Linked DNA regions of Drosophila melanogaster. The protein of the gene in region 1 interacts with the protein of each later gene in a pairwise test. Each region holds a gene or a part of one and is shown on either strand. Other genes may lie near its edges.

Region 1 (4,434 bases):
TCCGGCCGGAAGACGCCCGAGTTGCCCACCTCGATCCACTTGGCCAGGCCGGGGTGATAGCAGAAGATCTCCATGCTGGGCTCGGTGTACGGATTGTACGCCGGCTTGAATTCAAGCTGCGTGATGCCCAGCTTTCTGAAGAACTCGTACAGCGTGCCAATGAGATCGCCCAGCGTCAGACCAACATCTGCAATCACGCCCTCCACCTGATGGAACTCCGCCAGATGTGTGGCGTCCAGTGTTTCGTTGCGGAACACCTTGTCGATGCTGAAGTACTTGGCTGCTTTGAAGCCGCCCTCCTGGTTGGCCAGCTTGTACAGCATCCTCGCACTCACGGCCGTCGTATGCGTGCGCAGTAGATTCTTCTGCGCCTCCTCCAGCTTCCAGTCGTAGCCGTAACCCTTCGATCCATAGCCACCCACAGAGTGCACCTTCTTCACGCGCTCCAGATAGTCCTGCGGAAACTTGTGGCTTTTGGCCGGATGATTCACGAAGAAGGTGTCGTGGGCATCGCGAGCTGGATGCTGTTGCGGCTGATAGAGCGCATCGAAGTTCCAGAATGACGATTCCACATAGTTGTTCGTAGGCATCTCTGAGAAGCCCATCTCGAGGAATATCTGCCGGAACTCAGTGCGCACTTTGAGCAAGGGATGGAGATGTCCACGCGTTGGTGGTGCACCCAACGCATCAAAGTTATAGGCCTTGAACTTGAGCTGGTCCCACAATCCATTTGCGAGCATTTCCACCGTGAGATCCGTCTCCAACTTGGTGAGAGTGGTGGCAAATTCAGGGCCGCGTGCCAGCACGAAGCTCTTGGTGGTCGTTTCCTGGAGGAGCTTGCGTTTCTTGAAGTCGGCCACCTCCTTGGCAGGCAGCTGGTCACCCTTTCCCAGCGCCACCTGCTGCAGTTGATTGCGCACCACATCCGTAATGGTGTCCACCTTGCGGCGCACCAGCGGCGGCGTGACGCTCTTGTCCACCAAAATCCAGCCGTGCGACATGGCTTTGCTAAAGCCCACTTTGGCATTTGCGCCACCGGCTGCCATTAGAGCCGCCTGGGCGATTCCCTCCGGCGGAACTAGGTCGTAGACCAGTGCCTCATGACTGCCATTCTCCACGACGGCGCGACCCTCGTCTGTGAGGCCCAAACTCTTGTGGGTGACCGTTTCCGCGGTGACTAGTTCGCCATGCGCCTGTATGCTCTTCAATGAGCCCACAATCTTCTGGTGATCCTCGGCAAAGAGTGCGGCCAGGTCCAGTGTGTCCGCCTTGTCGGTGGTCTCCAAATGCTGGAGAATGCGCTCCGTGAGATCGGGATGCATAGCTGGCGGTTCAATGGTTGTATCTTTCAAGGAAATTCGGAATTTCAATACCGGAATCTCGTGTTGCCACAACGCAGCCTATCGGAGCTATCGTTCTTCGATAACTGCGTCTATCGTTCGAAACGACGACGGTGGCTAAAAAATAGCCAATAAGCTTAAAATAGCTATAATTATATCTAGATATTGGAAATTTGTATAAATATTTCAGCGAATAGTAAGATATGATACTTTTGTCACTAACATTTCAAAAGTAAATGAAATAATAATAAAGATGTCTCATATAAAGAACTGGTTTCAACTCGGTTTATTTTTCCGCTTACCATCACAGTGGCACCTCCAATAAAAACAGCTGTTGACGCCAAGACTAAAAGTTTGCGTTCCAATTAGAACGGCGAATATATTCGAAAAAAGGAGCAAATCCTGGGGAGCAACGGCCAGGTGGGAGCCGCAATCATGCTCAAGTCCCTCAAGCCGGACACGTACGCCGGAATGGCGAACGCCAAGTGCGGCGAGATCTACTTCCAGAGCCTGCACAGCTTCCGCATCGACTGTGCGTTCTGCGAGATGAAGAGCTTTGTGTTCGGAGACTTCCTGCTCCACGTCCAGAACATTCACTTCGAGAACGGCCTGCTGAAGACGGAGGCAACGGACGCCGGTGCGAATCTCAAGCAGGAGCGGGATCGTGAGCGGGAGCCTAACTCGCCGGTGCCCATTGTGGCGCAGGTGAATCCATTTGCCTGGTACGAGATTGGTGGCGATCACAACGAGGACAGCGACGATGAGCGCGTTGTCCTGGAAAAGCAGGATGAGGACGAAGATGAGCGGCCAGGCAGAAGCATAATCAAGTGGCAGGACCATCAGTCGCTGACCAGCGAATCTCTACGTCAAGTCCGAGCCCTCAAGGTGGACTACAAGGAGGAAGACTCCGAGCAGGAGGAGTGCGGCATGGAGCTGGATCTGGACAGCGAAGGCAGGCACTCTGCCAAGATTCCGCACTCGTGTCCGCACTGCACAAAAGTTTACCAGAGCCGCAAGGTCCTCGAACGCCACATAATGCGCCAGCACAAAGACACTCTCTCGCCGGATGTGGACAGCGAGGACGCGGACTACGAGCCGCCCAAGGATGCGCCCGTCAAGTCCGCTGCCCAGGAGTACAAGTGCGAGCACTGCGGCAAGATCTACCATGGCAAATACAGTCTGCGTCAGCATTTAAAGCGGGATCATGACAACGGCGAGGAAGGAGGCTCCGCCATCTTCACCTGCCTGGAATGCGAGGCCCAATTGCCGCGCCTGCGCCTGCTGGACGAGCACATGGTGCAGGCGCATGGCGGCGCTGCCTGTGTGGTTTGCGGGCGGCGCTACAAGACGCGACACGAACTGAAACGCCACCAGCTCAAGCACACCAGCGAACGGAACGTGCCCTGCCCGCATCCCGGCTGCGGCAAGCGCTTCTTCACCATCCGTCATATGCGCAATCACGGCAAGGTGCACACGGAGCAAAAGAACTTCGTCTGCGAGAGCTGCGGCTACAGCTGCCGGAACAAGGAGACGCTGCGCGTCCACATCAGGAGCCACACGGGCGAACGGCCGTTCGGGTGTCAAGTGTGCGACAAAAGATTCCCCTCCCATTCCGGCCTGCGAGAGCACATGGCCATGCATTCCACGGAGCGACCGCATGTGTGCAGCGTTTGCGGTGCGACCTTCTCCCGACAGAAAGGCCTCTACCACCACAAGTTCCTGCACGCGGACACCAAGCAGTTCGTGTGCAAGCTGTGCGGGAATGCCTATGCCCAGGCCGCCGGTCTCGCTGGACATATGCGCAAGCACCGGAACGACGAGCTCAACGGATAGGATCCGGATCACCGAGGTCGTAGTCTAAGTTGTACGTTTTGTATCTTCCAATTCCGACGTTTAAGTTCAGGAACTCAGGCATAGGCTATATATAGGATTACCATAGAAATCAATGGTTTTTTGCATTGCTCCGGCATGGAGCGGGTATCATGTGACTCTTCGGTCCTCGTTTCACGGGTTTCCATCGAATTTATTTGACACGCACTGTAAATAATATCCCTAGTTTTAGATAAACTGAAAGTTTGTTAATCTGTTTCGAGTGAACTTAGTTTGAGGCAAATTTAATTGGCTCGATTGTAAGTACTAAGACTAAACTACATTTCCATGAATTTTCTAAACTACCAACTCAAATAATAACTAAACTTTGTTAAGGTTTAAACTATACATTAAGCACACAATGCTTCCAAGAACCAAATCGAACGCCGTAATCTCGGCAACCGGATGTGGCTAGTATTCGAATGGTTAACTTTTTTGTATTGATAAATATACATAACATGAATTTGATTCGCAAAAGAGAGCCCGCGTTTAAAATTAGCCAAGCGATTTGGTACCTTTGACAGCAATTAATCGGTCGACTGCTGCTAAAGCGGCCAAATGCCAAGATGGTATTGGATGGGGTGCGTCTAACAATAGTGCCGACGATTAGATTTGGCACACGCGGACCGACCATGTCGGCGGAACGTCCAGCTGCCAGCTCCGATAATCGGCGACTTATGTGCGAGTTCTGCGGCTATCGGACGCGCATCTATTGGAATCTGCAGATCCATCGTCGGCGACACACCGGCGAAATGCCCTTCAGTTGCCAGCAATGCCAGGCGCGTTTCCCGGCCAGCTATCAGCTGAAAAGCCACTTGGAGCGGCACTTGGACGCCGGCGAGCGACGCCAGCGGCACATTTGCACCGACTGCAACGTGGGTTTCTCCAGTTCGCGGGCCCTGTACCATCACCGGACGCTCCACGAGGATGGGAAGCGCTTCAAGTGCTCCCAGTGCGACAAGTCGTTCGCTCAGGCGGCGGGCTACGCCCAACACAAGCGGATTCACCGCCAGAGGAACCAGCGAGCCACCGAAACCACGGATCTGAAGGATCTGCAGATCAAAAGAGTGGTTTCAAGTGTTTTTCATCGGCGCGAGTTTAACACTGCATAAAATTCAGTGGAGTAATTAACATTTTATTTTTGTGTCATATTCAAATTTAAAAAAACCGGGTAACCGATTCGTTATTTCAACTGAAGTGCCTTATAAATAAAACAGGCAGTATC
Region 2 (4,433 bases), on another chromosome or scaffold:
AGCTGCAAGAGCTAGTGGAGAGGAGGTAAGTCGCTTTAATTTCTTTAAAAACCCGAAATTTGAATCCCAATGTAACCTTCCTTGCAGAGCCAGTTCTTTGTGCTCTTCATTTCTGGCCCGTAACAATGTTGATGCGGTGCATCGGCTAATCGAGGCGTTCTTGCAGCACCAGCAGCGTTTGGCCTGCTCCAGCTGCCTCAGCTTGCTCTTTAACTATCAATGTGAGTCTGTGCAACACAACCGAATATTATGTAACTCCCGTTTCGTTTTTAGATATGCGCAAGGATCTGCGAGCCTGCGCTGAGATTGTCAAATCCTGCAGTGAATTAGAGATGCCGCTAAATGAGCTGCAGAACGAACAGTTCCTCAGTCTGTTCCTCGACCAGAGCGATCCTGTGGACTCTTCGGGAATGGCCAGCAAGTACAAGGCACCCAAGTCCTTCCAGTACAAGTTCTAGTCCCCAGTTTCCATCGTTAAGCCGTTGTCATCGTAGTTACAGCACAAGTGTTTGCACCATTGAGCAATATTGCAAGCATCCCCATATTGCAAGCCCCCACAAGGAATGTAGTGTCTCTTCAATAAATGTTATTTAATATCCATCTTCAGGTGGCTCCTTCATCCACCATGTTGCCCTCGGGCAGTTGGCCAGGCAAAATGCCGACGCATTCGTAGCAGCGGGATATCAAGTGGTTGCCGCATCGATGTTGCAAGCACTGTTGGCACCGCGTCCGCGATTTAGTGCCACGCTTATTTCGAGCGCAGGGCTTGCACCTGCGATGCTTCTCTCCGTACCGACTAGCCAAATTAATGCCCAAGGGCAGGCTCATCTTGTCGGGTGTTAGCACGCCTACGCTGTGCGTTAGTTTCGCCTCGCCGGTCGCCTCACTGAGCAGCCGCTGACTGGATTGGCCCAGGATTTCGCAGATTTGCAGTCGCATCACGAGCGAAGTGCTGGTGGATCTTCGCTGAAGGCGTCGCTGTAATCTCTGCTGTGTGAGGAAGAGTCCCAACTGTCTCTGGAAGTCGCGCTGATCCATAGCGGCATCGCCTTTGGGCGAAAGTCGTAACAGGATCCATGCATTCACGGCAGCCGCGTTGAGCACAAAGTGAAGTAGTTGCAGAAAAGGATTGATCTGCTTTTTCAAGGGTGCGGGCGTAGCGTGGGCTGTGCTGAAGCGCTGGGAGTGTTCGTAAAACTGCTGACAGGCTTCTGAGGTTTGCTCATATGCCTGGACTGCATCTACTTGGGAGCTAAGACCGCAGCAGAAGACTGCGTCGCCATCGAGCGGAATGAGTTTTGAGCTGCCACCAAACAAGGGTGATTCTGTGGGCCACTGCCGCGGCCAATGTGGCGAATTGGCCTCCAGCTTACCCAACGAGCTTATTTGCCGCTGCGCCAACTGCTCGCACTGCGTCAAGTTTAGATACCGTGATCCCAGCGTTACATTTCTTCCCGTGGTCTTGAAATCGCAGATCAGTTGTTCTACATCCTTGTCCGGACATCTCTGGTTTCTGCTTACCACTGCATTGGCCATGTACAGTGTCCTGGCATCACAGCAGAGGGTCATCCGTGACTTGGCCACCGCGCAGAATGTCTCATCCACGGTCAACCAACTGCTGCAGCCGTAGTAGGATCTGCAATTGATTATAAGGCGCTGCCAGAGCTTTTGGCCCTCGGACCAGCCGCAATTTCCCGCCAGACACTCGGAAATGCTTTCGAATCGAGCGAGCGACATGGATGCTCGGAATATGGCATTGCCCAGCTCCAGGGTCCACAGCTCATCCAATGGCCCATTGTGCCTGGCATTTCGGAACACTCCACAAAGGTAGCTTAGACCCAAGAATGCCCGCAGCTCCACAACGTCTAGGGGTCTCTGGACACTTGTGGCCGTTCTCCGCTTACGCATCTGTTCATTGATATGGCGAAGTAAAGACCGCAGCATTTCATCATCGAAGAGCAGCATCCATGCTTCCACTGCATTGGACACTGTTCGGGCGGGTCCCTTGCCACAGGCCTGTTGCCCCAAAAGGGGTAGATCCTCTGCAGAAATATCTGGGCTCCTGGTCACGCTCCATAGCTGCCCACAAGGAGATGTGTAGTTTCCGTTATTATTTGGTGGACGACCACGTCCTCGCTTCGGGGCAGCTGGCCTGGCGGAATCCTCCTTCTTCAGCACCACGTCAGCCAGTTGGTCCTCGTTCATCAGCATGTCGCTGTCCTCGAAAATCCAGGGAAAATTGCATACTGCTTCCTGTAGCGGATCGGAGTCATCTCCGTTAAAGGAGGCACTTTGGACTGTGGAATCGACCGGCGGCAGCCGCTCCTCCACCTCCATCTTTTCACCATCCTCGTCTTCTTCCTCCTGGTCGCTACATTTAATATTGGCCAGCAGCTCCTCGTCCAGCACGCATTCCATTGTTTGTTTATAAACTTGCAACAAAACAAACCTTTTCAGTCGTCGATAGGTTAGGACAGTAACGTCTATACATATCGATAATTTATATAGTTATCGAAAAAGACATTTAAAACATAAATCTTAAGCTTGAAAGGTTGAAAACTTATAAAAAAAATAGTTTGTTCTATTTAGAAAAAATTATGTACATTCTAAATATAACTTATTTATTTTAAATGTAGATTTAATTTCCAGCGTAGAGATAACTAGTGTATGTTTATAATTCTTAAACAAATTATACTTAACAAAACTTGTATTTATTCTTGGCGCCACTGTTCAAATTTCAAATGAACCTGCCAACTGAACTAACTCCCCAGTGGACCCCCATCCATGATTTATCGCACATAAGCGGCTATCGGATTTCTTTCGCCACTAATTTGTTGTTTGGCACGCAGCAAGGAAAAGGAATAAAACGCTTTAAAACCAGTGCCAAAATAGCTTTCCCCAACGTTCGTTACTATATTTACGTTGTCTGCAAAAAGAGTTTGTCTAATTGGCCTCGATACTACGGTTGTGACGACTGCCCCGTCACTACAGTTTGCTGAGTGCAGTAACCGGGGCCTGGCTGAAACACTGGGAAAACCAGTGTTTAGTGTAAATAAATGATAGTGGCACCCATTCGGACATCGCAGGTGAATCCCCGGGAGCTCAAGACGCCCGTTATTTGGGCGCGCAGTGAATTTGTCAAAATATTTTGGTTAAAGTGTCAATTTGACATGTTATATGTCATGGTCTCTCGTGTGCCAGTGCGATAGTTATCGATAGATAGCCCCAACTTAATTTGTTTTAAATATTTTTAAATTTCTTCTTTACTTAATTCACTACTGTAATACGTTCGTTTAATGTATAGTTCCTTGGAAATTAATCGATTTAGCAAGTAGACCGATTGGAAAGAAATCAAAAATCGATTTGAAATGCGTATTTGAACCTTAGTTGGCCATGACTTTGGTGTCTGAATGACGCCTGCCCTCAGAAAAAGTTAGTTGAATCTCAAAGTCTGTGGTGACAACACCTAAAGAAACTAAAAAGTGACAGGTTTCTCTGTTTGTAAAAAAAAAAAAATTGTAATTAAAGTTCTGTTCTTTTCCTTTCAATATTTGCATACCGTTTCTGGTTGTGTTTTAATGAATTTTCTGTTTTCTGAAGCTTAAGTCTGAGCTGCAATGATCTCGCCGGAACAAGAAGAGGTCAACATGGTCCTGGATCGCCATGTACGGCAGAATATCCAGGACATGATGCACGAGGCTCATGTCCAGGCGAGCCTGCTGGAGAACGAAGGTGAGTTTGCTATATTTCGGTCGAGTTCGGTCTTGTTCATGCCCGTTTTTTTTGCATGTCATCTGCAGGACGCGGCCGTTTCCACTCGGACTCAAGTTTGGACCAGGATTCTCTTCACGCTGACGTCATCGTGGAGGAGGATCAGAGCACCGAACACGGCGCCAACCAGGTGCAAAACTACCACGACATGATGGTGGACAGTGAACACCACATCGACATAAATGGGTCGCTGCGCAAACGTCGTGGAAATCTTCCCAAGACCTCTGTAAAGATTTTAAAGCGTTGGCTTTATGAGCACCGCTATAACGCCTATCCGAGCGATGCGGAGAAGTTCACCCTGTCCCAGGAGGCCAATCTGACGGTGCTCCAAGTGTGCAACTGGTTCATCAATGCCCGTCGCCGCATTCTACCGGAGATGATCAGGCGCGAGGGCAACGATCCTCTGCACTTCACCATATCGCGACGTGGCAAAAAGGTTAGCCCCAACTGTTCGAGATCAAGTGCGTTGGGCGCAAACTTGACTGGGCCGAATCCCGCACACGGAAGTCCTGCTTCCGAAGTGGTGTGTTATCTTCTGGTCAATCATTATACCACTGAAGTTACTAAATTGCTTGACTCCAGGTCGTTGGCGCTACAGAGGAGGTGGATGGCGCCGGTGAGATTCACGAGGGCATCGCCAATGTGCTGACCAACTTTGAACA
Region 3 (4,931 bases), on another chromosome or scaffold:
CGCTCTGTGCTAAGGTTAGTCATATCGGGTTCATTGCTACTCAGACATAATTATCGCTTGGCTGGCTACCTGGTAGGCAAATCAACTGGTGGAACCTTTTATCGCCTCAACGGCGAAGGCAAACAGGGAGCTTAACCCAAACACCAGCCGAATGGCAAGTTAACACCAAACACGTCAAGGGGTTAATACCACGGATGCTGGAGCCGGCGGCAAACGGAGTGGTAAACTGGGACTCTTTCAGTTGGCGTCGTAAATCGTATGGCTGGCGGAGCGCACCTGAGGGGATCTGGTGGGGCATATGGGCTGACAACAGCACCACCGAGCCACCGCACCACCGCACCCCCGAACCGCCTACACTGCTATCAGCAGACTGTTGGAGCGGAGATGGCGGGGGCCAGGTGATAACAGCCTTATCGATGTAAAATATTTTCATTTCTGCGAGCATTTCTCCGCTATTATTATTGTTATGATTGCACGTACACTGGGCGCCTTTGGATTTTGGCAATCGAAATTGGGGAAAGCTCGAAGAAGTAGTAGAGCGCCGCACTGACAGTCAGTAGTGCGATAAACTGTGCCATGGGCGTCCAATAAATTCGTTAAAAATAAAAACAGCCCACTGACAGTAGCACGAAAATAGCCATAAACGATCGTAAATCAATTAGCAAAAAGGGAGGGAACACCTCTCCAGGTTCCTAGGCCCCTTTGCCCGATATCGGGCGGGAATGGGCATATACATATATGTACATATACGTTATATATGCGGTCCGCTATCTGAGCTAACGAAACCAAACTAAACGAAACGAAACGTTGCAATAAATGGTTATCTAATCTCAATCACAACAAACTAAAGGCATTCAAAGGCATTCGAAACGAGAACGAATTTCATAAATCTAGCGGCAGCATAAATTCGCAGTTGTGTGTTTAAGTGAATTTAATTAAATTTAATTGGAATGCCTTGGCTTGAGCTGTCACTTTCGATTTCGCTGATAATGCCGCTTGATCTCCACTTGATCCCCAGTGGATTAGTGCGGCTGTAATGTTAAATCCATTTGCGGTTGTTCAACAGCAATAATAATAGGCAGCCTTTCGTGATAAACATAATTTCACTTCAAGCCAATTTATGGGCCACACGATTGGTTAGTTGGTGTGTGTGTGGGTGGGGGGGGGGGGTCAGCCGTTGAAATGAAAAGTTCTGCATTTATTGCCGTGATGGGGATATTTATAATACTGTTATTTGCTCTGTCTTTGCCGCAGTTGTCTCAATTTCTGGCTAAATTATCTGCCGCAGCGTCTAATAAATAATTCGGTTGCCAGTTTGCCATTGTTTCCATTCCATTTCGCCAAAGAATATTCTCCGCTCCATTTCTTGTGTGTTTTTCAGCTTTTGGCTTTTCTGCCTCGTCATTTTATTTCAAAAGTGAGAATTTATTTACATAATGATTCCCTAAGACAAAGAATGCCAGAATTATTTTATGCCACTTTATGGCCGCGAGATCTCGTGTGTTTACGGCCTCTTCGTCGCGAAGGTGCCAAGATTCCGATGTTGTGCCAAGGCTTTCCACATGCTTTCATTTCTATTTAATTTTATTATTTTATTCAAATTCGAGTTTAGCGGCTGCCCGGAGATCCGAGTCCGAGCATTGTGTACTTAGGTTTTTTCCACATCTTGTTTGCTAATTGTTCAGGTGACGTCAATGAGCCAGCGCCGCTTGGCCGGGCTCTCCTCCAATTTTTTTGGCAAAACCCACAGTACTGGCCCAGAAGCCCAGAGGCCCCCTTACGGAATGGCCGAGATCTCTGTTTATGGCGGCAATCCGGATCCGAGTCTCACTCCGCCGTGATTTATGCGCGGCGTGAGAGTCCGCCGTAAACTTAATTCGTTGTCCAACAAGCCGTTTATGGGCTTGCTCTGGGCCCTCAATGGGAACCTCTGCTGATCCTCGCTGGAAAGCTAGGCTGTTTTCCTAGCATCAGCTGAATTGACATTGCTATTAAGGGGCGCTTAAGTTCCTAGCCAGGTGTTTACCGGAAAACTTCTGTTGGCTATTATGACCTAACACATCGTTGTTGCTGATAATAACTTTCGTTTTTAAAAGATCCCTATATAATTCAATTTCTAAAATCTTTGAATTTCTAAATCAAATTTGATTTATAATTTCTTGCTTCGTGCGTTAGCAACTCAAGAATCACTGAGGTCAGTGTAACAAGTTTTAAGTTATGATTAACTTTATGCGACTGCGACTCACCTCTGAATGATGGGAGAGGAATTAAAATTAATCCACTAGGTGGTGGGAACGAACTTCCGTCGGTTCTCTGGTTCTGTCGATCCCGAATATCAAAGGCGAACTTTGATGGAGCAAATGTCGTGGGTCCGTCAATAAATCAGATGGCCAGCATTTCTAATGCCGGAGATCTGGGAAAGTCTCCGAAAATCTTCCGGATATATCGCGTGGGCAGTGGGCTATAAATCTCGGGGAGATCGGTAGGTTTGTGCTGTGTTGTTGCAACAGATTGCTAATCAAATGCGAAGCGGCATTTAATAAAGCCCCAGCCGTTAAACAGTTTTCGCACACGCGGTGTTGACGTCGGCAGATCAAATAATAAAAATCACAGTGATTATGTTAGTGATTAATTTTAAGTAACTCGGGGATATGTTTTTAATCTCGCTGCCGCTTCACAGAAACACACACTCGCGCACACAGTCACTCGCGGCACTCTCAGTGATATGATTTCGATTCGATTTGATTTGATAGGCAAATCCTGGCGGATTTAAGTGTTTAATAGTTTAATCCACGGCGTAATTAGGCTAAGTATCTGCTAGGGTACTCGAATCTCTGTATCTAAATCTGTAGCTCTAGACCTGCAATTACATGTATCTGGTATCACAACGGAGGCGACGCGTCTGCATCCGTAACAGGACGTAGCTGGATTGAAAACGAATTCGGAAAAGTATCTGTTGGATGCGTGTACACTGTACAGCGCATGCAGCGAGTATCTGGCTGGTGGGGTTGTGCGGGGTGGTTGGGCCAGTGCTAACGGTAAACGTGGTGCTGGCGACGAGAACTCGCGGCTACTGAACGCAATACCCCGGAATTTCGCCTTTCGAACGCAAGAGCCCCGTGTATTGCCCGCTATCTTATCTCTCTTTTCTGCCCGTGCACCGGCGAGAGGGTGTGAGGGAGATGGTCTTCTGGCCGACGAGTAGCGAGAGCTGCCTGTGCAGCGGCAGTGCGAAAGGGAGGTCCGATCATTCGAGTGCGTGGAAGACACACCCCCAAAGTCGGCACTCTCTCGCTCTCTCTCACTCAGACCCTGGTGTTTGCAGTGCGCCATTGCTGTGCTCTCCCTCTCTCGCCCACTCTCCCTCTCGCTCTTCATCCGTACATTATTTGGCCGCTCTCGAGGGTTTGATTTGTACTTTCGGGTTTGGCTCTGGTTTGGTCCTTTGTTCCGTTCTCCCCCTTTGAGGACCCCTGGCAGAGCCCTGCCCTCCGCCCCTGGACAATTGCTACGTGCTGTGTTCATAATAATAAGGCTACTTTGCCCACTTTTGAGGGCTGGCTGTCTTTTACTGGGTGTCAAGGGCGTTTTGTTATCCCATTATTCTGCGTTAGCCCGCCATTGTTGTGCCTGTGCCTGTGCCAGTTTAACCCCCCGACCGCCCCTCGCAAATAAATAAATAACTGCTCCTTTTGACGTATCCTTGCGTTTGTATTTGTATCTGTATCTCCTCCCTGGGACTTTCCCCTTTTTGATTTGTTCGCTCTGCCAGCACAGAAATACAGCCACAGAGACAGCGATACTTTCAAAGGAAGCTGAAACTGAAACAGAAACAGAAACAAGCAGCAGGCAGAATTTATTAATATTCACAACAGCTTTTGTGCAGTTCATAATTTTCGTTTTTATTTCGCATTTGCCTGCCTTTCCCTTAGGTTTTATCCTCCTCCTTGAGTGGAAGAATGGGTTTAGCTGGGTCGAAAGGGGGAAGCTGAAGGAAATGGTCCGGGAGACAGCCGACTGATGTAAATGATGCTGGCTTTATAGCCTCGTATTCCGCAACTGACATGCCACGGAACTAATCAGACATAATTTCCAATGGCCATGCGAGTCATAACTCATGACCTCTGGAGATCTCAGGAAGTTTACTGCATTCCATAGTAACAAAATAAATCAATTCGACAAGATGAAGTAGAGAATGGGAATCAGTCTGTCATGTTAAACGTGCTTCATAATATCTAACCCACTTATATATATTTAATAATTGTATATATTTGTAGGATATATTTCATTTTGGCAATCCATGGTGTGATGTTTTTGTTGATTACTGCCACCTCTCAGAACGTGCGACTGGCATAACCCAGATTGCAGATAGACTTGAAATGATAATCGCGCTGAGAGGAGGCCCTCGAAATACTAAAGCCACTCGAGTTGCTCAGACCTTCTCGAGTTTACCGCCTTTGAACTCGCCGTCACACATTTGCCCAGTTACGTAAATGTGGCACAATGTTAGAAGGGCTGGCTGGTACTCCAGCGATCCACCCACTCAGAGGGGAGAATTTCACCTGAGTGACGATGATGCAGTACAATATGATGATAAAGGGTTCTCCACCTGTGGTGCAAGGTCCGACTTTCAGCACCCCGGGGAATTTCTGTTTTACGATGGCGTAATTACACAATGTCCTTTGTGTCCCTTGGCCAAATCCCCGACTTTTATATTGATGACAGGCTGTCTATTTCTGGCCCAGCGCTGCGGGTATCTACCAGGTCGTATTTCAATTATTAGGGCAACCGAAATTAGACTTTCGACTTTCCGATATCAAAAGGGGGACCGTTTTCGCGGTATCTACTGTTATCTAGCGAACCCAAAAGAAAATGGCGTTCTTTTTTCCATCCGAATGGGGTCTACGTGCCGGGGAGTGTGTCTGCCATTT

Evidence for each region.
Region 2: the proteins of CG2129 (region 1) and CG13151 interact in a two-hybrid assay, tested with the Drosophila melanogaster proteins (one large-scale study listed by BioGRID).
Region 3: the proteins of CG2129 (region 1) and Ptx1 interact in a two-hybrid assay, tested with the Drosophila melanogaster proteins (one large-scale study listed by BioGRID).

The regions. Positions count from the first base shown.
Region 1 is NC_004354.4:8,144,174-8,148,607, forward strand, and holds CG2129 (uncharacterized protein), read left to right. Parts: upstream 1-1,665; 5' UTR 1,666-1,775; coding exon 1,776-3,173; 3' UTR 3,174-3,682; downstream 3,683-4,434. Other genes in the region: alpha-PheRS (Phenylalanyl-tRNA synthetase, alpha-subunit), read right to left, coding at 1-1,322; CG15336 (uncharacterized protein), read left to right, coding at 3,842-4,321.
Region 2 is NT_033778.4:12,513,429-12,517,861, reverse strand, and holds CG13151 (uncharacterized protein), read right to left. Parts: upstream 2,488-4,433; 5' UTR 2,419-2,487; coding exon 604-2,418; 3' UTR 578-603; downstream 1-577. Other genes in the region: CG8818 (uncharacterized protein), read left to right, coding at 1-25, 88-221, 274-458; achi (achintya), read left to right, coding at 3,618-3,732, 3,801-4,294, 4,354-4,433.
Region 3 is NT_033777.3:30,910,900-30,915,830, reverse strand, and holds the start of Ptx1 (Ptx1), read right to left. Parts: upstream 3,078-4,931; 5' UTR 2,247-3,077; intron 1-2,246. UniProt on the Drosophila melanogaster protein: Appears to control physiological cell functions rather than pattern formation during embryogenesis.